Linked DNA regions of Astyanax mexicanus. The protein of the gene in region 2 interacts with the protein of the main gene of each other region in a biochemical or structural test. Links are inferred from orthologs where the notes say so. Each region holds a gene or a part of one and is shown on either strand. Other genes may lie near its edges.

Region 1 (7,485 bases), on a different chromosome or scaffold from region 2:
CAAAACAAATCAAGCTTTTATTTCATTTAGTTCAAAGGCACTTCTGAAAAACAATTCTTAAGCCTTTCTTTTAATTGAAAGACTATATGGATTGTCTAGGTAATACATTTGCAGAAAGTAAAATGAATGCATGGTTTAATGGCAAATATCCACTTGTTTGCAAACTGCTTATTCTTCTTATTACACAGTTATGTTTGAACTGTGCAGTCACTTTAATATTTATTTATGTATATACGTATATATGCCTTATATATAATTTTGTCTTCTATTTATGCATGCTAAAGAACCTGACTGGGCTAAGAATTGGGAAGAGGTGTTCAGAGAGCAGAACAGAACAGAACATTTGTGTTTGTGAGTGGTTGCAGGAATGTGCTGCCCGTGTTCCTTCTCCTGCCCTGTTGGTGTTGGTGGCTGGCTGGCTGGCTACACCTGTTCCTTATTTTCAGTGAGGACACTGCGTTTTCTGCACAACCAAGATTGCGCAAACATCTCCATAAACAAAATGAGTTTTTTCTCTACCTATTTTCTCCCAGGATAAGTAGTAATTTAGATTGGTGTGTTTGTATCTTTACCATGGACCTCGACCTCACTCTACCGCCAACTTAATTTGCTATGTCACATGATTATAGTCCGCAGTGTGAAGAGCTCTCTCTTGTGAGGAATGAAGGTAATGCAATGTGAAAAGCATTATTGCATTTTTAGCAATAAATAAACAATAAAATATGATTTATCTTATAGCTCTACCTCCACCTTAATTTGCTATGTCACATGATCATAGTCTGCAGCATGAAGAGCTCCCTCTGCTGCACAGGTAATGCAGTTTGAGTTTGCATTTTTGCAACTTTTTGGATGTGTTTATCCAAAAAACTTGTATTGCGATAACAATAAAAATACAATTTATCTATTTATACAATTTGTCTCCAGAATAAAGAGATCTCTCTGCTGCATAAACATCTCTGGAAAAAAAATTAAGAGATCACTTGATTTCCTGAATCAGTTTCTCTGATTTTGCTATTTATAGGTATATGTTTGATTAAAATTAACATTGCTGTTTTTTTTTTTCTAAAAACTACAGACAGCATTTCTCCCAAATTCCAAATAAAAATATTGTAATTTACAGCATTTATTTGCAGAAAATGAGAAATGGCTGAAAAAAAAACAAAATAATGCAGAGCTTTCAGACCTCAAACAATGCAAAGAAAACAAGTTCATATTCATAAAGTTTTAAGAGCTCAGAAATCAATATTTGGTGAAATAACCCTGGTTTTTGATCATAGTTTTCATGCATCTTAGCATGTTCTTCTCCACCAGTCTTACACACTGCTTTTGGATAACTATATGCCCCTCCTGGTGCAAAAAGTCAAGCAGTTTAGCTTAATTTGTTGGCTTGTAATCATCCATCTTCCTCTTGATTATATTCCAGAGGTTCTTAATGTGGTAAAATCAAAGAAACTCATCACAAGAGGTCTCTTAATTTTGTCCTGAGCTGTATGTAATGCAATTTGATTTCAATTATTGCAGTTTTGGGGATTTTTGGTTTATCATGGAAACTCATATCATGATAACAATAAAAATATGATTTATCGTACTGCCCTAGTATGCAGCATGTAGAGCTTTCTCTTTTGATGCAATTATTATTTTCGCACTTTTATCTTGATCCCTATGAAAATATAATGTATTGTACTGACCTTGTTTATATTATTAACACTAACGCGATAGTTTTTTTTTTTTTTTTCAATTTCTGCTCGCTTACCATCATGGTGAAAGCTTCTTATGGTGTTCGCGCGGCTGGCGGACTTCTCGGACTCTCTCCCGAGCGCGCGCCTGCTCGCGCCGTGCTTTGGCTCCGCGTTGGCGGAGTACGCAGTGAACAGGTCCAGCATGTAGCGCGGAACCACGGCGGACCTGCTGGGGGTGGGCCTCTGCTTGAGGCCGAAGAGGCTGAGGAGTCGCGCCTCGAAGGTGCTGAGGGTGTCCTGCGACAAGGGCGCAGCGTATCTCCTGCGGCCCGGCTCGGGCACGAGCCCCGCGGAGCCCCCGAGACGCGCGTAAGCCAGTAGCAGCAGCAGGAGGGGCAGCGCGCGGCGCAGCGCGGCGGAGCGCATGGTCACCCAGCGCCCGGTCGGTCAAGACCTGGGGGCTGGTGGCGCTTAATCACACGGGCACGGGCAGAGGCGCGCGTCCACTTGGCGTCTCCGGTACCACTTAGCCATGTCCGTCACTGTGGGTCCTCCTCCTCCTTTATGTCCTTCTTCTTATTATTCTTCTTCTAGCTTCTAAAGTTGGACCTCATCCTGCTCACGTCTGCTGGACGTTAACACGCAAGCGTATCGTAGACGGTTGGGACCCTAAGTCATAGTCCCAGATAAAGAACTGGAGAACCTCCTCAGCAGGTTCTAACCAAGCACTCGCAGTCTGTCCATCAGTAGAGGAAGATAAGATGTAGAAGCCTCCACTGAAGAATCAATCCAGATTGTACCAGAAGTTGTAGTCTACCTTCACCACCTTGTCCAATCGAGTCCAACTGTGTTTTGAGACCTTGAGTGCTGTGGTGGGTGTATGCAGTATGCGCGCGTAAACGTGTGTGCGTACGCGCGTGCCCTAACTACGTGCACGCACTGCTAGCTCCAGAGGAGAAAGTCCAGCAGAAGAACTCCAAACTCTTCAGAACTCAGCTGCCCAGCACCAGTAATTGGCTACTTCCTTTCAAATCATTGCTGGTTCCATCTCAGGGTCCTCCATCCAAAACATCCATCTCTGAGAGCTTCCCAAACGCATGGACCTCCTGAAGTCAAGTCAGAAGAGCAGCAGAAGGTCTGGTTTTCCTCCTATAGACAGATAGAGAGAGAAAGAGAGAGCTTGGTGGAGTCTGGTGTGCGCACTGTTCTCACTGACACTCTCTCTCCTTCTCTTCCTCTCTCCTTCTGCCCATGTGGCTTTTAGTGGCTCAGTGATGTCACGAATGAACACAGCGAGCAAAGAAGAAAAGAAGGAAGAAAAAAAAAAAAAAGAAAAGAAAATCAAACACCACCCTATCCATGCTGTCAAATAAGGATTAATAATGGTGTGGTGCTCGGGTTCCCAGTGGTTGAAACGGTACAGGTACATCCAACACATGAGATGACTGATGAAATTCCCTCCTCTCCCTTCATGATCCATTATCTCTCCTAAAAAGAAGCAAAAAAATACAGCTTACATATAAAGCCTTAGGATCATAAAATCCACCCTACCTTAAATACAGCAGAATTCAGCCAGAAATATTTATTTTTACTAACTCAATTGCTGCTGTGTTCCACTACAATAGACCAAATCTGGTTATAGAGCACCAACCAGTGGAGGGAATTGAGAAGTACATCTCCCACACCAGCACAGCACCACTGCAGGGTTCTTTAATCCTGGTCCTGGAGGGCCAGTGATCATTTTGGTCTCCTTAATCCTCAAGCCTCAAAATACTGCAAACCTCAGTTTCTCAATTATTCATCTTCGGTCCAAATGTTGAGGATTCCCAACAGAAACGGCCCTCAGCTTTTTTCTTTCTGTTGGCAGAGGTGGCCAAGTCTCATACTTAAGTACATAAAATTGAATATTTGTACTTTTATGTATGCAAGTAAAAATAGTAGAAGTATGATTTGTATTACTCAAGTAAAAAGCATGTCTTTAAACAGGGGCCTCTAATTTTTTTTATTCCCTTTTTATTAAAAATGAGAATAAATGTATACACACTTTGAGCTCAATTGAATTAAATTAAACAATTAAAAATACTAAAGTTCACTATTTTTCTATTTTGCTCTTTTAAAAATGTACTCCACCCACTTAAAATTAACAAACAATCCTCTCCTGTTTAACTGTGTTGGTGTTTAGGTATTTACTGGTGGTAAATATAGTTTATTCAGAAAACTTTTGACAGTGTTGACAGTCATTGTTGTCCTTATAGATTTGAAAACACCACGAGTGATTGAACTGTACTGGTATACTTGTAAACTGAGACTTTTCAGGGGCCATACCAACAGCAGTGCACACAGTAAGAGGCCTAAATGCATGTATAAAAGCAGCAATTTAAAATAAATTAATTAATAAATCAAACATGCAATCTCTGTAAAACTTGTCAAAAACAATTTAAGTTTTTTTTTTATTTTGTTATTTGCCACCTTTGCTTATTGGACTGACTGAACCTTGGATTTAAATTAACAAATGTCTAAAAATGGGATGAAGAATCTGAAACAAGGTAGGTTATTTTTTGTTTAAAAAAAGGCAAGTTTTTATTATTTTCCATTCGTAAAATACAAACAAACAAAAATGTAGCTCATCTGCAGCCGCATTCATCCACCACCATGTCCTCATAATGCCTGAGGACAACATTGTCATTATTGTCATAGTAAAGCATTGAAATAGGAGACAGTTTGACCGGGACGCAGCAGGGCTGAGGCGTCCCCTTTGGGTCAAAGGAGTGGACCAGGGTCTGCAGAATGGCGTGGTTAGTCCCATTCAGACTCTCACTAAGTGGAAAAGGACACTCTCCATGGCAGTAGTTGGCCACATAGCCCTGGGGCGCGATGATCCAGTCCTGCCAGCCGACGTCTCTGAAGTCGATGTAGAGGCGCCTGGGCTTGCACACATTGCTGGGGCTCACAGGCACATAGTAGGCACTTCTCTTCTTCCTCGATCTACACTGGTAAGGGTTCAGAGACACAACCACCAGTGACGTGACCAGTTCAGGGACCCCCACAAAACTAGAGTCATAGTCCACTGGGTCCAGCTGGTTGTCTAGCCGAGTAGACTGCAGAACAAGCACCAGCCCAAAGTTCTTGCCTGGCTTCCTCCACCATTCAGCCAGGTCGGTCAGGTTGAAGTGGACGGTAGTGCTGTGTGTGTAATGAACAGACTGGGAGAGCAGCAGTCTGCGGCTAGAGTCATGGCTCATGCCTTTCAGTGAGGTCCTCAAGACCTTGTAGAGGTGCATGCTGAAAGTATGCTGACCAACCTGGTGGGACAAGTGGGAAAGGTCTGGCTTGAACTTCAGCTCAAGCTGGGCAAAAGAAAGCTGCTCCACATCCTCCAGAACAGACATGTTGAAAAAAAGATGCTTCTCCACACCGTGGCTGATTGAGTCAGAAATGAGTCTACCTGTTGAGAAAGATAACAGATCATGTTCAATATTTATTCAATAAATAAATATAAAAATAAATAAATAAACAAACACCAATAATTTATATCATGTTACACAGGTAGGCAAATGCAAAGTATATGGATTCTGCTTAAAGACTCTTAACCCAGCAGGATGTGGTTGGCTAGCTAGGTGATCAAACCAATTCTCCCTGCTACACTAGGGATTGTAGCAAATATTGAGACTCCAGGTTCAAACTAATTTAAAATCCTGTATTTCTCAGAATATTTACTGACCAACAGTGGAAAAACAAACTAAAAACAATACAATGTTCCTATGCCTTTTTATCTTTGCTATTCTTTTTATAATGTATGATAAATGATACAAATACCAGTAATCATGCACATGTTTCATATATAAAAAAAAGTTTAAAACAAAACAAGAATGATTAAACTTGCATACATCTGTAAATAAAATCATTTTAGCAATATTTGATGACCTATTCAAGAAGTAAACCAATTAGAGGAGCAACTGACTAAGAACTATACACATATATAAAGAACTAGACTAATAGAAATTGACTAAGAATTTAAAATAAATAAATAAAATTATATATATATATTTTATTATAAAAAAAATAATAAAATAACTTGATTTAAAACATACATATATCCACACACACACTCCGCATAGCAAAGCAGCCGGCGCCAGAAGGCAGGCTATGCAGAGCTTAAGCTATGGTTATAGGATGTAAACAGTGCTTTTTAATAAGCTTCTTGTCTACTTTTTAAGTTATTAATGCCTCGTTTTAAATGTCAGGGCTCTCCGGATTCTAGCAATAAGTTGTGGAGCTTCTTTGAGCCATGATAACGGTGGAAAAAGCGATTTATTGTGGAAGATTTTGCCCCGTGTCACCCAGTCTGAAGGGTGTTTGGACAAATTGTTAATTTCTGGATCTCGGAGCGCTGTGGGAGAGCAGAGGTGTGCTATTCATCAATGTTAAGTACTTTTTATCATGTTTTACTAAACCAAAAGTCCATTTTACACCGGAGTTCTCCTTTAATGATGGGTTAATGGGGCACAGGGAGGTTTGTGGTGAGAACAGGGGCAGGGGCAGGGGCAGGAAGCTCACCTTGGTCCAGGACATATCTGACGATGTTGCCCCTCACTCCGTACTCCGGCACCGTGCACGGATCCGGGTCAGTATCCGGTCGCTTCTCGTCGGTTTTCTTGAAGATCCTCCACAGTAGTGAGGGCACAGGACCCCGAGCTGACGGCCTCGGCCGACTGGAAAGACCCAGAGAACTTAAAAACAGCTGCTCCTGAACCTGCACGTCCTCCGTGCTGTCAATAAGTCCAAACGAGCAGAAACACGACAGAAATAAAAGCCTAAAAACCGCCATAGTGAGCAGATACTGAACAGAGAACGCTAACGAGTCTGCCGGCTGCAGGCGTCCAGATTAATCATTTAAAAAGTGCGCCTGCGTGCGGTCTGACGTTTGATTGGCCGAGACAACGAAGGCGCGACGATTAGACAAGGAATAAATTGAATTGTTGTGCAAATTAGGAGCGTTTGAAGGTACGTGTGAACGGAGCTAAAAAAATCCAATTAGCCCATCACTTCCAGTTTGCTTTGACAGGGACAGACAGAGTAAAGGTCTAATTAGTTTATCCTTTTTATTTTTTTACCTTGGCTACCTTTATTCTTTGGCTTTACCTTTATTCTTGGTTTCATTGTGAGAACTGAGAGAGCTAGGTCAACATTAGGAATAAGGAACTTTTTTATCCTTCCCAGCTGGCAAACAACCAACCTTCAAGGGTGAAATGTGTTTGAAATATGGTAATGTCTATTGTTGTTTCAACAGCAAGAGTACCACGAGATAATGATAAGAAATAAAAATATTTAAAAATAACATTTAATAATACAAATAAAATTGTTGGTAAAGTGTTGTTTTATATTTTGATACTCAGCACACCAATACTACGTTAATACATTTCTGCTGTTGCCTGCTGCCATTGACAGAGAAAATTTCTAATTACCTTATTACTGCATTCATTTTTTGTAATATTAATGTTGTCAATAAAGATGTTTTGAAAATATTTTTTTTCAGACAGATTTGTATCTGTTAACCAACAATTCCTTTAAAAATTACGTTATACATTTGGGAACTGCAGCAATTACAATAGCTTATTTTTTTGTTTTACAACTGTCTTACCATAACAATTCCAGCATTTTTAAATAACATGTCTTTATTGTTCCAAATGTAATATCTGTAAGATGATAATTTATGCTTGTAGACCAATTGTCATGCTAGCAAAACCTGCTTGTGAAAAATAATGGTATCAGCTTTTTTTTGATGGTTACGGTGTTTAGATAAAAA
Region 2 (7,954 bases):
CGGCTAGAGGGGTGTTAAGCAAATGTCTTTCGTCAAGTTTTTCTGTATCTGTCATAAAAAATGTTCAGGTTTCTTTGTTGACTCTTGAGCAGTTGTGTACAGTATTGTTCATATTAAACAATTTATGTTACACAAAGTTTCTATTTCACATCATATTTTCTGTTTTTGGACCATTTGGCATAGTACAGGGTCTGTTTGGTCACAACCAAATAATGGTTGTACGGACAATGTACTGTTCCATAAATAATACAATAATATTAACTTTATGTTAAAAACATTCTATAATATAATAGCATAATAAAGTAATTGAATTCTTTTAACATGTTATGAACCTTTAATTATTAAGCTAGCTCCAGAACTGAAATATAAAATGTTTGTCACATAGGCCAGACACAAGACAGACACATGCAGATAGGATTTATAAATAATGAGGGACAGGCAGGGTCAATAACCATATGGGAGCAAATATAAACAACATACCAGTGAGAGTAGTCAGGCAAGCAGGGGTCATTCATGAAGTATCCAAAAACAGCAAGAGAGGAGACAGAGATGCATGAATAGGTCGGCAATAAATTAAACAATAAACTGAGCAAGGTGCACTATAAAAAAGGGTTGCCAAAAACAAAGGAAACACATCCTAGAAGAGCTAGAAAACTAACTTAAATTCTCAGCAAGGAGCAAAGCAAACTGAGGAATACATATGCAGGGGAGAGCAGGTGGAAACAATCAGTAGCTCGGAGAGCCAGAATGCTGTAGTGTCACGTGATCAGTGGAGGCGGTGAAGTCTGGTGTGTGTGCATGCTGAGAAAAGGAGTTTTGTGCAACAAGTTCAAGAGTCTGGAGCAGGCAGGCTGACACCATCTGGACTGATAAATTTTTAAATACCATTTATAAATAAAACTTAAATAATGGGCTCTCCTTATTTATAAATAAAACATAATGGGTGATATTGAGGTCAGCAAAAAGGATTGAGGGTAATGCACATATATATTATCAAAATTATTGATGTATACTAATTACTAGTACTATTATTTTGAGTATGTAGTATTTAGTACAATGTATCAAGGTGTCAGAATTGAATACACTCAATTTTGCTATGCATACTAAGAACTGATTGTGGTTGTGTTTTAAATGTGGTTTAGATGGACACTATCGTCCCATAATGCAATAAAAAAATTGAAAGAGAAGAGCTACTTTATTGTAAGAAATTTATTGTAAGACATATATAGACCTGTCACAATTCCAGCTCTAAGCTCCTCATGTGGAAGTGCTCTTTTATGATGTTTTTAAATGGCAAATAAAGGGGGTGTAAGCAACTAAGGTGTGGGAGAGTTTATAACTGAACTACGACACTTTGCTCCATGCCCATTCACACTGCTGCTTAAACACCAAATACCACTGCAGACCCTGTGCTGGGTTTAGCAGTTGCTGATTTTTTGCTGTGTAAAGACAATGAAATGTTATCACTACAGCAAGTTAAACTGGGATTTTTCAGATCCTTTTTTTTTCAGAACTGTTGATAATAGATTCCAAACATGACATGGGTATCACATGGGTAATGATTATCAAGAAATTGTGATCTGATGCAGACCTACAAGGAAATGCTGAAAGGTGGCTTTCCACACTGTTAAACGTATAAGAGACACCCCTCGTGATGGACCTTCAAGAAAAGGTTTTTAGAAGAAAATGTTTAGTAAATGTTTATTAAAGCACCTTCCAGTTTCCCACTGCAGGAACAGGGTTGGAGACCCCTGGTGTAGAGAATGTGAGGGTACTGCATTGGGCCCCCATGGAAAAGTAATGCAAGAACTGGTATACACTGTACCCAGCACTTCCAGACAGACCAGAGTCCCACCCACTAGAAGTCAAAACATAACTGCTTAGTTATTCTGTTACTTTTGTATTATGGGTGGTTAATCTGATGTGTTAGGCCTTTAGTTCTGTTCCTGAACTGGAGACAAGGCTACAGAAATGACTTTCGAAAGTCCAACATATGGGGCCTATAATACAAAATTACAATGCCATTATAATGATATTTTAATTTATATTAGTAGTCTTTAAAAATCTATTATTCATAATAATATTATTCACAATAGTCATAAGCTTTTAATGTTATATTTGACAAAGAAATGTTTCATTCTAGAGTTTTAGGAATTCTGGGACTCCACAGTCATCATGTAATACCAACTAGGCAGTCATTGTAAATTATGACTGCTCTTATTTTTAAGAGGGCATTAATAACAAATATGTTCTAGTTGTGGCACCATTAGAAGCTGCAATTTATGATGTTGTAAACATGCTTTCCAGTCTCTCAGAGACTATCAGTATGTTGTTACTAAAAGGTATTTCATTATACAGAGGACCTACTACAGTTTTACATTGTGTGAGCTAAGATTTTCACTGTTAAAATAAAAGTATTTAACTATTATTATTACTATTACTACTATGACTACTACTACTATTATACATTTTAACAGTATATGTCTTTGGTATGTCTTTTGGTATTTTCTTGCAGAAATATACTATATTTGACAGTAGTATGTCAGCATAGCAATATCCTTTTTTGTTTGCATTACATATTTTGAGGTATACCTTAAAACAGGCTTTATTGTCTAAATTATTTGTTAAATATTAAAATAAATTCTGGTTGGGGCTCTGAATCTACACTCACAATGCTTATAGGTAAACGGTGCTTCTCAAAGATAATGATATTATTATTAATAATTAATAATATAGACTATAAGAAAAGAATACACACAGGATATACATTTTTCATATGAGTAAAGTTGGTAAAGTACGTTTAATACAAACCATACTTATAAAAACATAATGTTAAATCAACGTAAATCAGTTCTGGTGCATTAGCTCGGGAAAAATGAACGTTGATTCAACATGCTTTTGCTATTTGGGTAATTATTCAATAAAAAATAACCTCTATTTCATGGTTTGTTTTGTTAAAATTAAATCTTAAATATGTTAACAGAATCATTATTGTATTACAGTGTTTTCAGTTTATATTTTAATACAATTTTGTAGAGATAAATACTGTAAATAGGAGAATTCTGCGAAACTTATTGAGGCAAAACTTTATTTTTTTTTCAAGAAAAAAACATTAGTTAGTGATTAGTTATTTCAGTGTGAAGCTACTGTGATTTTTGAAAGTCAATGTCGTCATATACGATGATGTTAATTCATTATATATATATATATTACATGTTAATTCATTATATATATATATATATATATATAATGAATTAACATCATAATGAAAAGCCAATATATATATATATATATATATATATATTGGCTTTTCATCTTACAGCAGACTGTTTAATAGTGAGCAGTGAACGCCAGGGGGCGCTCGGACCACTCAAATAAATTCACAGTACACTGTAAAGTGTGTAGGAGTAAACTATCACTCCTGCTTTTATACTGCTAGGAGTAAATTAACTGTAAATTCATGGATTTTTTGTTCTTGTTTACTGTAATTCATCCCTTTGAAAGAAAAGTTTTTCTTTACCCATTTTTTAAAAACGGACATATGTTAGTGACTTCATTTAGCTAACTTATCTAACTATAATTAATAGTTAATTATATGAATATATATAATTAATAAACTAGTAGGTAATGTTTGGTAAATTGATTAAAAAACAAGCAAGCAAGCGAGAAATCAAGTAGCTATAATGGCTCAATGGTTTTAAGGCGTCTTAATGTCTCACACGTAGCAAGTTATAAAGACAAGTAATGTTAGGTAACGTTACAGTAAAATGAAGGTTTGCTAGAAAAACAAGAAAAGAATTGATGTGTTGTGTATCCATGTAACTTAGTTAACTAGCTATCTTGTTAGATGGGTATTATGCGTGGATATATAATATCTAAAAATGACCCAAAAATATAATATTACAATATTTCAGTGTGTTTTTGCGACAACAATATTCTTGGCGATATGCCAGAACAAGAGTATACTACAGGAACAAAATATTAGTTTAACAACATATAAAATGTAACATTAACGACAAAAGTGTACCACAAAACTAAAGTGTAGCATATTTAGTGCATGTAAACGGAAAACAAACAATTAACCCAGTGGCATGTATTATATTTTAGGTAGAAACTAAATCACACCACTTTTTTAACATATATACTATATAGAAATTAATACTATTTTTTATTTTGATACACTGATTATTTGAATCAAAACAAAATTGATCTACACAATGATTTTAATAATTGAAAAACCTTGTTTTAGTAAGTTTACAATAGTAATGTAAGAATATAAATTAATACTTATTACATATTCTTGCACATATTCGTATTTTTGATTATGACCCACTTGCACGCCGTATATATATTGATATACGTTGATGCCGATATACTTACAGAGAGAGAAGACACCGTGGTATAACTTTATAACTTTAAAACTAATAAAAAACAATAAAAGTGGAAAAATGCTTAAATCATCACTTGTTTTTTCCGGCATACAGTATATACGTCAGTACGTATGGTTTGAAATTCTGGCCAAATCGGCCGATGCTTATGCTGATGCCAAAGATTCTAAAAAAATCAATTATCGGGCGATACATAATTGTATAGTATGAAATGGTGTAATAACCAAAATATGATTTAAAATTGGGTTAAACGTAAATAAATTAGTTTAAATAGCCATATTACTACAAAACACAGTGTCTTCAAGGATATGGAGTTTTTTTTATCGTGTCAGAATTTTGCAATATAACGTTAATTAGATACGATACGGCACATGCCTACTACTATAGGTAGCTTCAGTAGCTAGATGTTTCTGAATGAGGCGCTAGCTAATAGTAAGTAGCACAGAGACTGAGCTGAGCTCGCTGTGCTCCCCGCTTAGGCTGCTGGGGGCTGTTTAAGAGGCAGAGCAGGGAGGGGAGGAGGGGAGAGGGAGGGGAGACTCGCCGCCCTGCAGCGTCTGTCTGCGGGAACGGGCGAACTTATCGAGCACGGCTGGCTGGCTGGCTGGCGGAGGAGCCGACAGGGGGGGACGAAAGGACTAGACTGTGGAAACGCGTTGCGTTACAGCGAGCTAGCGATACACAAGTGCTTTAGAAGTGAAGTGTAGGACCGTGCCTCTGTGTTTTCGCTCAGTTTTTAGTCGGTGGTGTGTGTTTAGGAGTGTTATCTCGCTGTTAAAGGCCCCGGTTTTGGCTTGGAGTCAAACGCGGAGCCGCTCAGACCGACCCCCCTCCTCTTCTCTCTTCTGCTGCTGCTGCTGCTCCGCTCATGTCTGTCGGGCTTGTTCGGAAAGATTCGGGGCGAGGAGCTCGACGATTTGTGGATTTCTGGCAGATTTTGGGAAGATAGCGGACTTGATAGACTTCTTCTTTGTCGTGTTTTTTTTTTAAACATAAGCCTGTGTCCTAAATAATTGTTGGAACGTAAGTGTTTAAAAAAAGAAGCTGCCAAATGTGTGTTAGGTACTATCGTTAAGCTAGCTAACCTAGCTAGCTAGCTGTTCGTTGCTAGTTAAATTGGCTAGCAAAGCTAGCTGTTCGTTGCTAGTCAGCTAACTAACATAGCTAGCTGTTTGTTGCTAGGTTAGCTAACCTAATCTACCTAGTTAGCTACCTAGCAACGCTAGTTTACCACAATCTCAACGTTCCCAGAAATGGACTGTCGGGACTGTTATCGGGGAACTGAGACACACTGCGGGGACTGTAGCGTTATGTGGTGAAATTTAGATTATTTAGGAACTGTTTACCGGTTGTTGTCATACTAAAGATCTAATCCAGGTTATGTGTGAGGTCTATATATAGTTAGTTAACTAACTAAAGCAGAGACGCGCTGTTGTTTATGGTGGTTTATGGTCTCTATTTTGGTGATTTCTGGACAGCAGCGGATTCTTCGCTGAAGGTAGCTTTAGCCAAGAAATAACATTTAACGACGTTGAAATGGCGATTAAATGTAACGTTAGTTAACGCCAGTTAACCTTAGCTACTTGGAGAAGTCTCTCTCTCACACACACACACATACACACACGAAGTGACTCACAGCTCTCGGTGCTAGTTAGCTGGTTAAACTTTAAACCGATTAAAGTTAACCCTAGTTGACTAACGTTACTTGGTTCTGGTTCTGAAAGCCGGGGAGAAAAAGAAAACCATGCCTCGCCCGTTCACTCTCACACCGCACTGCTGCTCCGCTCCTGCTGGACTCTTCCCTCCCAGCGAATGAGCTCGGATACCCCACTGGAAATAAGGACGAGAAGAGGAGGAAGAAGAATACGAGCGGGGAACGCAGCTGCTTAAAACTTAAAGCAGTGTCCCAACAGTTTAATAAGGAGGAATAAAGCATGAAGGCTATGGCAGTGTTGGGCCGGGTGTCTGTTCTGGCGCTTGGGCTGTGTGCCGTGCTGCTGCTGAGTCCCGTGGCTGGTAAGCGCTTTATTTCTCTCCTTTCCTTCCATTAGAAAACCGGTGTCTTGTTTTGCTGTAACGTAAAGTGATGTGATCCAAGTGTTTTCATTAAAACACGCTTCTTTCGGTCTAAATCGATGCGCAACGACAAGCTATCGCCATTTATTCCTCATGTCGACACTAGCACTGGGCCTGTTTTCAGATCTGTGAGGTTAATTTGGGTGTTTATTGCCAAGACTGTCCGTGTTAATCAATGTGTGTGTTTAAAGGAGAGTGTTGTTATTTTTATTTGGAAAGAATGTTTTTAGGCATTGTATTAATGATTTCTAAATGTTTCATAATGTGTAGACTGAAGGTGATTAAAACAGACACCTTCGTTATCTTTTTATACATTGCATACAGCTCTGGGAAAAAAAGTAAGAGACCACCTCAGAGTTTATTTTATTTTACCAAATTGAAAACCTCTGGAATATAATGATGAGGAAGATGGATGATCACAAGCCATCAAACCAAGCTGAACTTGGTTGATTGATTTTTTGCACCAGGAGTGGCATAATGTTATCCAAAACAGTGTGTAAGACTGGTGGGGGAGAACATGCCAAGATGCATAAAAACTGTGATGTAACTGTGAGTTATTCCACCAAATTTTGATTGTTGAAATTTTAAAGCTTTATGAATGTGAACTTGTTTTCTTTGCGTTATTTGAGGTTTGAAAGCACTGCGTCTTTTTTGTTATTACATATATTTGGAAGGTTTTTTTATCATGTTATGATACAATTGGATGACTGTCTCAAAAATATTCCAGCCTCATGATATCACAGTTTCTTTGTATCACAGTTTCATGGCATCATAGTTTCTGAACATAAAAGTAACAAATTGGAGGGATTCTCTATTCAGTTGCATTTTTTTTTTACCAATACTAGTTTTAAGCAAATATACATGGTCTGATAACATCTGTTTTCATACCATGGTACGACAAACACAGCATACCACTGCGACCGTATTATATTGTAAACATACCTTACGACAAACACAGCATACCACTGCGACCGTATTATATTGTAAACATACCTTACAAAAGTCATGTGGCTTATTATATTAAGTGGTGGGTTTGATTTTGAGCAGGTCTTCTAAAATTCTCTGCATTGGGATTTGAAGATTAAAGATTATTATTTCCATTTCCAATTCATATAGGCAAAACATATATATATATACTTAGCTACATCTGTCTGTAATAAAGGACTGATTGCCAAGCAGTCAGCTGCATTTCCATTCCTTCTAAATGTCAGCATCATTGTTAGGCCCATTATCTAGTTCTGTAAGGTGAATGAATGTGGAGGCACATTGACAAAAGAATCCAGGTTAATAAATTTGTGCTGTTTAAATAGAGTTCATATTTTTACCAAAGGCCTCAAAAGGTCCCCACGGGGTGCTGGTGAAATAGGTCAAAATATGAATACACAGTCATCACTGTAGTCTTGTGTTCAGTAATGTCAGAAAAAAGTACCTCAATGTCTGGTTTCTGTTTAGAGTCAGTCAGTGGGTGAAGTTACCTTTCACCTTTCACT

Evidence for each region. The genes of interacting proteins can lie anywhere in the genome.
Region 1: the proteins of bmpr2b (region 2) and bmp2a form a complex in vitro, tested with the Homo sapiens proteins (4 studies listed by BioGRID and IntAct, with this or other methods). The link is inferred for Astyanax mexicanus from reciprocal best matches to the Homo sapiens genes BMPR2 and BMP2.

What each region holds. Positions count from the first base shown.
Region 1 is NC_064421.1:16,604,830-16,612,314, forward strand, and holds the start of bmp2a (bone morphogenetic protein 2), read right to left. Parts: upstream 3,003-7,485; 5' UTR 2,106-3,002; coding exon 1,754-2,105; intron 1-1,753. Other genes in the region: gdf3 (protein DVR-1), read right to left, coding at 4,304-5,124, 6,237-6,507. UniProt on the Homo sapiens protein: Growth factor of the TGF-beta superfamily that plays essential roles in many developmental processes, including cardiogenesis, neurogenesis, and osteogenesis. Induces cartilage and bone formation.
Region 2 is NC_064418.1:35,543,565-35,551,518, forward strand, and holds the start of bmpr2b (bone morphogenetic protein receptor type-2), read left to right. Parts: upstream 1-4,928; 5' UTR 4,929-6,322; coding exon 6,323-6,404; intron 6,405-7,954. UniProt on the Homo sapiens protein: On ligand binding, forms a receptor complex consisting of two type II and two type I transmembrane serine/threonine kinases.